Saccharomyces cerevisiae S288C: one gene and its partner. The gene in region 1 interacts genetically with each later gene. Each region holds a gene or a part of one and is shown in the gene's direction. Other genes may lie near its edges. The genes, in order: SAP1 and YKL033W-A.

Evidence for each region.
Region 2: mutations in SAP1 (region 1) and YKL033W-A together harm fitness more than expected from each alone (negative genetic interaction), as found in Saccharomyces cerevisiae (2 studies listed by BioGRID).

The regions. Positions count from the first base shown.
Region 1 is NC_001137.3:243,018-248,458, reverse strand, and holds SAP1 (putative AAA family ATPase SAP1), read left to right. Parts: upstream 1-1,955; coding exon 1,956-4,649; downstream 4,650-5,441. Other genes in the region: CAJ1 (Caj1p), read left to right, coding at 302-1,477; SPO73 (Spo73p), read right to left, coding at 4,848-5,279.
Region 2 is NC_001143.9:372,561-375,820, forward strand, and holds YKL033W-A (haloacid dehalogenase superfamily protein), read left to right. Parts: upstream 1-1,944; coding exon 1,945-2,655; downstream 2,656-3,260. Other genes in the region: ubiquitin-protein ligase TUL1, read left to right, coding at 1-1,545; TTI1 (Tti1p), read left to right, coding at 2,896-3,260. UniProt on the Saccharomyces cerevisiae protein: Nucleotidase with XMP as the best in vitro substrate. Low catalytic efficiencies of YKL033W-A observed with XMP and other substrates suggest that these could be secondary activities for this protein, and its primary substrate is not yet identified.

The DNA.
Region 1 (5,441 bases):
AGAAGTAAGACAGTGAATCGAAGTGGTTCTCCTATGGATTGTTTTAGACCCTGGGAACGTCACTGCGGTGTTTTCGCCCGTCATACCAAGATGGGGCGGAGAACGGAAAATTTGATGGCGAATGTACACTGCCAAGGACAAACAGGGACGATAAAGTGTTAAAGTGGTGATATAGTCGGATCCGCGGTTAGCCGTAACCATTGCTTTCCAATGGTTTACGCCTGTAAAAAGAGCAACTTAGATAATTGTCGGCTTCACGTAATTAAGACGTATTAACTCAAAGGAAAAGAAAAGAGGGAATATGGTAAAGGAGACGGAGTATTATGATATTTTGGGCATCAAGCCTGAGGCCACGCCCACTGAAATCAAAAAGGCCTATCGTAGAAAGGCTATGGAAACACATCCGGACAAGCATCCTGATGACCCAGATGCTCAAGCAAAGTTTCAAGCCGTAGGCGAGGCCTACCAAGTCTTAAGTGATCCAGGGCTTCGTTCCAAGTATGACCAGTTTGGTAAGGAGGATGCTGTTCCTCAGCAAGGATTTGAAGATGCTTCTGAATACTTTACAGCAATATTCGGTGGTGATGGCTTCAAAGATTGGATTGGAGAATTTTCTTTGTTCAAAGAGCTAAACGAGGCAACAGAAATGTTTGGAAAGGAAGATGAGGAGGGTACAGCAGCCACTGAAACCGAAAAAGCAGATGAGAGCACTGATGGTGGAATGGTTAAGCATGACACTAATAAAGCTGAATCTTTGAAAAAAGATAAATTATCGAAGGAGCAAAGAGAGAAGCTAATGGAAATGGAGAAAAAAAGACGGGAAGATATGATGAAACAAGTCGACGAGTTGGCAGAAAAACTGAACGAAAAAATCTCTAGGTACTTAATTGCTGTGAAGTCCAATAACTTGGAGGAATTTACGCGAAAACTAGATCAAGAAATCGAGGATTTGAAATTAGAAAGTTTTGGTCTAGAGTTATTGTATTTATTGGCCAGGGTTTACAAGACAAAAGCGAATAATTTTATCATGTCCAAGAAGACTTACGGAATTTCTAAAATATTCACTGGTACACGCGACAATGCTAGATCTGTTAAATCAGCATACAATTTATTGTCTACAGGCTTAGAAGCTCAAAAAGCCATGGAAAAAATGAGTGAAGTCAATACTGACGAACTAGACCAATATGAACGTGCCAAATTTGAGTCCACAATGGCTGGTAAGGCACTTGGTGTCATGTGGGCTATGTCGAAATTTGAACTGGAAAGAAAACTAAAAGACGTTTGCAATAAGATTCTAAACGATAAAAAGGTCCCTTCCAAGGAACGTATTGCAAAGGCAAAAGCAATGCTGTTTATTGCCCACAAGTTTGCCAGTGCTAGAAGGTCACCAGAAGAAGCTGAAGAAGCTAGAGTTTTTGAAGAGCTAATCCTAGGTGAGCAGGAGAAGGAACACAAAAAACATACTGTGGCCAGATAAGCTCAGCAAGTTAATAACGCCTCATGTATATTTTTCATATATAGCGCAATCAATTACAAAGCGAAGAAAAAAAACCCTATGTATTCTAGACATATCACAGGCATACGGGTTTTCTCACACCAACCTTTCAAGTCTTCAGCACTTATGTTTTAACTTATTTTCTATTATTCAGTATATATATGGAATTAACACTGGCAACCCAAGCATCTTAGCCGAGATTCGCGGAGAAAATTGAAATCAAGAATAATAAAAATTCTTGATTCACGGTCATAAGAGGCTGAAGCAACAGCAACCGGCTCCCCAAGAACTACAATACGCGTCCGATATACTTTCTTATCAAATATATTGGTAATAATAAAGGCTGCAGTTCTTTTTTTAATATAGTCTTTTTACATTTATTGCAGCTAACAAACGCAATTTTTCTTTCCCTTTCACTCGTGCGGTTTTACCAGGATTGATTATATCGCACTGTGACACTATGGATTCACAAAGAAGCCATCATATTTTAACGAGATTAACCAAGATACGGAGAAGACCTCAACAACCGTTAACCGACTTTACAGAACTTTACAGTAGAATTGCCAATGAGACAATATATTACTTGAACCTAGAAGAGAAAAAACGATATAAAGAAGCATTGCAAGGATGGAAAGCGCTTACCACTGATGTACTATTCAAACAGACATTGATAGAGCATAACTACCCAAATACTCAATCATACACGAAAGATGAAGTTAGTTTACAGAACGGTATTCGAGAATTGTACCACAAGAGCGTTATGCATTTGAAAAGAGTCAAAAAATTGGTCCGAGAAGAGCCTGCTCCCAGGAATGATATGCCGTCATCCAAAACATACACTAATCATAGCTCATCTTTCACAAGGTCTACTGAACCACCTCCTGTATTCCAAATGGTTCCCGGAAGAATGATGAAAACATTAAGAAATAGAAATGCATGCGGCTATAAAACCGCATACTCCAACCCCTCACTATCATCATATGGTAACAGCACATCGATAAAACGCGGAGAAGATGCGGAGAACATTAGAGTAAATTTTGTACCTTCTAAGCCTTTATCCAACAATGCAAGCAGACAGCACAAGAACCCTATTGAGCACAATGATCCTCCACTTAAGAAGGAAACTGAACTGTACTCAGATAAATATATCTCAGAGCCAATATTGATAGATTTGACTAATGACGAGGATGATCACGATGTCGGCATTTTAAAAGGACACAACGTTTTTGATGAAGAAGAAAGTGATGGTTTCGAGTTTGATGTGTCCGATTACTATGATAATTTCTCCGAAGTCGACGTAGAAGAAGAAGAAGAAGAAAAAGAGGAAAGACGACGTATAAAAACGTTAGAAGCAATTCAACAGCAAATGTCTGACTTGTCTGTTACTTCTTCTACGTCCAGTAATAAGAGTGTAAGTTCTTCAGAAAATGTTCCCGGATCATGCATACAGTCCCTGCCGACTACCGCCCCTGCTCTTCCTTCATTACCTCCACCTCCTTTATTAAATGTCGATAGAGCGTCCAGCACTGGCGCTCTAAAGCCACATAGTTTAGAAACTTCTACTACTATGGATTCATCAAAGATTAGGAATCCTCAAATATCAAAATTAATGAAGAATAATCACGTACCATACTTAAAGGGTACCAAATCAACGCCCACTCTTATCACTAAATCAACGCCAACATTTATTACAAGATCAAAAAGTAATACAAAACCAATCATCAAATCCAATGCATCGTCTCCGACCTCTTCTCTGACTGTTCCAAATTCAGTAATTCAAAAACCCAAAACGGCTGCAATGGCTGCTAAGAGAGTTCTGAACAGCAAAAAGGTTGCGAGTAACCCCGCATTAAACACTACGAAGAAGAGTCACCCCATTTTGAAATCCAAAACGGCGAAAGTCCCAAATTCCAGTTCGAAGAAAACGAGTAGCCATCCTTCCAGACCTGTAAGTAACTCAAAACCATACTCGCATGGTGCATCCCAGAATAAGAAGCCATCGAAAAATCAAACCACGTCTATGAGTAAAACGAATCGAAAAATACCAGCACAAAAAAAAATCGGTTCTCCAAAAATAGAAGATGTTGGAACAGAAGATGCCACTGAACATGCCACTTCCCTAAATGAGCAAAGAGAAGAGCCTGAAATAGACAAGAAAGTCCTGAGGGAGATTTTAGAAGATGAAATTATTGATAGTTTACAAGGTGTAGATAGGCAAGCTGCAAAGCAAATTTTTGCCGAAATCGTAGTGCACGGAGATGAAGTTCATTGGGATGATATTGCTGGTTTAGAAAGTGCAAAATATTCTTTGAAGGAAGCAGTTGTCTATCCGTTTTTGAGACCAGACTTATTCAGGGGGTTACGTGAACCAGTCAGGGGGATGCTCTTATTTGGACCACCAGGTACAGGTAAAACAATGCTAGCGAGAGCTGTAGCTACAGAGTCGCACTCCACCTTTTTCTCTATTAGTGCTTCCAGTTTGACATCTAAATACTTGGGTGAAAGTGAAAAATTAGTGAGGGCACTATTTGCAATTGCCAAAAAATTGTCACCTTCTATAATATTTGTTGATGAAATTGACTCTATCATGGGTAGTAGGAATAACGAAAATGAAAATGAGTCAAGCCGAAGGATAAAGAATGAATTTCTTGTTCAGTGGTCATCCTTGTCCAGCGCAGCGGCTGGTTCAAACAAAAGTAACACTAACAATTCTGACACCAATGGCGACGAAGATGATACAAGGGTACTGGTACTTGCCGCGACAAACTTACCATGGTCTATTGATGAGGCTGCAAGGAGAAGATTTGTGAGAAGACAATATATCCCATTACCAGAGGACCAGACCAGACACGTTCAATTTAAGAAGCTTCTTTCCCATCAAAAGCACACGTTAACCGAATCAGATTTTGATGAACTGGTAAAGATTACTGAGGGCTATTCAGGAAGTGATATAACGTCTTTAGCGAAGGATGCTGCCATGGGCCCACTACGAGATCTGGGTGATAAGTTATTAGAAACAGAGAGGGAGATGATAAGACCCATAGGCCTTGTGGATTTTAAGAACAGTTTAGTGTATATCAAGCCCTCTGTATCCCAGGACGGATTAGTGAAGTACGAAAAGTGGGCTTCACAATTCGGATCATCAGGTTCATGATGATGATAATAATAATAATAATATAATAATAATGGTAATAATAAATAATATTCTAGCCTAGCTGGACAAACTGTGTGCACATAAGCGGATCGATAAAATATGTTCTGCATAATGTCACCTTTTCTTTTTTTTTTTTTTTTTTTTCTTTTTTTTGACTACTTAGTTTGTTAAACAATTTAATATTAGCGTAAACTATTACTAATCTAATCCATGACTGGTCGTAGGTAGTCTTACCCAGACCCTTCTTCTCACCAAGCCATTTTTCGATTTCCACCTAGAGTTATTGAAATTCCAGCTATAACACCATCCTTGATCGTCAATATCGTACTTTTCCTTGTAATCCATCAGTACGAACCACTTTGTCATCTGTGAACTGCTACTGCCTGCAGTGCGTTCAGTACTCAGATCGATAGGATACAGTTCTATGAAGTTCGATATAGTATTTTTCGACAGGGCAATTAACGAGCCATTTTCAGTGTTTAGTCTTTGAAATTGTGGTGGGTCAACGTGAGGCAGTAAAATCTTGGGAGAAAATAGTGGGTAACCAAGTAAAGTTATGCCTCTCTCGTTTTCTATGAGTACGTCCTCCGGTAAAGCAGAGAAATCCTTCAAGAAATGGTTTTTGCCCATATATCTCTATGTATGATTGTATTTTAACGATGAAAGAAACCTTGTTACGATTGCAAAGTCTTCAATTTCCTGGAAAATAGTAGCCTTTTGGTCCCACGAGCCCAATTACGTAGACAAGATTCAATCGCTTTGTTTAAGCGGAGATAAACTTTCACAAAAAAG
Region 2 (3,260 bases), on another chromosome or scaffold:
AAGGCTGTATATGACATTCAACGTGGTAGAATTCTTTCTATTTCTCAGAGTTCTAAATTTCATTCATTGTTCGCCCTTCCTCATTACATGTCCTTCCAGAATGATTATAATGAGAAAATATTTAATGATGTCAAGGAACTCGTTGATGAATTTTGGAATTTCACGGATTACACAGATGTCATGACCATGAAAGACGTACAGGATGCTTATAATAATGCCAACTTTAAATGTGAGTATTTGATTTTTCTTCAGTTGGAACCATGGAATCAGTACACAAGAGATCAGATCAAGTTAATAGATGATGAATTGAATTGGCCCCTGGGGCGTCCGGCAAATCTGTCTAGTTTACCGCCCATAAATGTTGTCTCTGGATTACTGTATTCTCCAGACTGTGGCGTACGATTAGGGCTTCATAACGTAAAGGGTACACGGTACGAATTAAAAATAATGTCGATCAGAAAACATCTATTGTTCGGTATTGCATTATTTGCAGCCCAGATATACTTATTGCTTACTCAGATGCATCATACAAATACCCCCTCCATGGTCAACAAAATCTCATTCTATTGTTTCTCAATGATAAACTTAGTCGATGGTTCCTTGGCCACTTTGTACTTTGTCGCAGCTAGTGTCGTTCCCGAATTGTACTTACCCCTAGTTATAAGTGCTTTTTCGTGCTTTATCTTGGCATCTATTTTTGAAATACGCTACTTAATTTCAATTTACGCTTCACAGGTTAACGAACAGAATGTTGGGATTATCAACCTCCTGCGTGGTAACACTGGCACATATGATGAGAATAGGCCAAGACCCGCATTCATTCCCGATGAAGGGTCTATCGGTGGCTCGTTATATGGTAGGTTTTTCTTTATGCTAATCATTTTCACGTTTTTAATATTGAGTTCAACTTCATGGCCCCGTCAGCTAAGGATGGTATTTGAGTATATCCTAATCTTCATATTAAACTCATATTGGATCCCTCAAATTTTCCGTAACGCCGTTAAAGGTATTCCTTCAAGAAGAGAAAGAGCAAGATCTAGCATTGGAGGAAATAGAAGTCAAAACAAAATGCCATTATTGTGGAGTTTTGTAATTGGTACAACAATAATTAGAAGCTTGCCCGTTGTGTATGTTTTCACTTACTCCTCTAATGTGTTCAGGCACCATAAAGATGTTCATTTCGTCGTATTTTTATCATTGTGGCTACTGTTTCAAATTAGTATACTGTATTCTCAAGATGTATTGGGATCGCGCTGGTTCTTGCCTAAGCACACAATACCTGATGGATATTCGTATTTCAAGCCCCTTTCAAACGAGTATATATCGGAGCATGGTGGTGGAACTGCTGAACATACCGTTGATTGCGCGATATGTATGTCTGATGTTCCAATTTACATAGAGGAAATTCCAGAAACTCATAAGGTGGATCAGCACTCTTACATGGTAACGCCTTGTAATCACGTATTTCATACTTCGTGTCTAGAAAACTGGATGAATTATAAGTTACAATGTCCTGTGTGTAGGTCACCATTACCTCCGTTGTAGATAGCATCTCTTGATCCTAAGAACTATATACTGTATTTGTATTCAAGATCCAAGATACCGTGACATTTCCTATTTGTCAACCATTGCAATAAGAAATTTTACATGAATAGTGCATTAACTTTTTATTACCACTAAAGTAGTTTTGCTTAAATATACAATAGGCAAACTAGACTTAGGATAATTCACAAGGGTTTTTAGTGTTACCCTTTTTCCGTATGACACATTTTTCGAGGAATTAATTATTGGGAAAATATTGCCGATCAAGATCCATTGAGGTGAATCTAAATCGCTCCAACTCCAAGTTGGGGAATCTTAAGACCGTCACTGCCTTCCAATTACACTGCTTTTGTTTCTTTGACAATAAGAACGCAAAAGTAAATTTCTTTTTTTTAACAAATTATGACACATCCTGTAGCAGTGAAGGCATGTCTATTTGACATGGATGGTCTTCTCATCAACACAGAGGATATTTATACTGAAACTTTAAATGAAACTCTCGCAGAATTTGGTAAGGGACCTTTAACTTGGGATGTGAAGATTAAATTGCAAGGGCTTCCGGGACCGGAAGCAGGAAAAAGGGTGATCGAACACTACAAATTACCAATAACTTTAGATGAGTACGACGAAAGAAATGTTGCATTGCAATCTCTTAAATGGGGTACTTGCGAATTTCTTCCCGGTGCATTGAATTTGTTGAAATACTTAAAGTTAAAGAACATTCCTATTGCATTATGTACGTCTTCGAACAAGACTAAATTTCGCGGCAAAACAAGTCATTTAGAGGAAGGTTTTGATCTTTTCGATACCATTGTCACTGGTGATGATCCAAGAATTGCAAAAGGTAGGGGTAAGCCTTTCCCGGACATTTGGCAGTTGGGTTTAAAGGAATTGAATGAGAAGTTTCATACCGATATTAAGCCCGATGAGTGTATAGTGTTCGAAGATGGTATTCCAGGCGTAAAATCAGCCAAGGCATTTGGTGCACACGTTATTTGGGTCCCCCATCCAGAAGCACATGCTGTTTTGGGGGACACAGAAGCTTTGTTAGCCGGTAAAGGTGAACTATTGTCTTCTTTGGAAAAACTGGAAATGTCCAAATATGGACTGTGAATTTCCAGTATTTACGTAAACAATATATTTGTATATTGCACTAAGTATAAAAAGGGATGATTTGTATTTGATTTATCACACTACTTTATGTGGTGAGCTCAGTTATTTTTGTATAATATACTATAGTACATGTTTGGGTTTTTATCGTTTTATTTCAATCTCATTACAATAAAATATTATAGTGAACATGCACATCGAAAGGAAAGATTGCAATAGCTGGTGTTCAAAAGCTTTGTGCAAATGAATTCAGACACGAATGCATTTAAGGACATAAGAATTTCATGTGTTGAACTTTCTAGGATCGCTTTTTTACCCACCGAATCATTTGATCCAAATTCATTAACGCTATTGGCATGTTTAAAAAAAGTTGAAGAGAAGTTATCAGCATACGAAGACGATTCACTTTCGCCAAAATTTGCAGATTATGTTTTTGTTCCTATCGCGAGTTTATTGAAACAGCCAGCTCTCGGCGAGTCTCAAACAGAATACGTCCTACTAATTATATTTCATCTCTTACGGACATGTTGGTCATCTAATGGTAAATTCTCCGAGCAATTGGGACAACAACTGTTCCCCTTAATCACATTTTTAGTCAGTTCTGATAA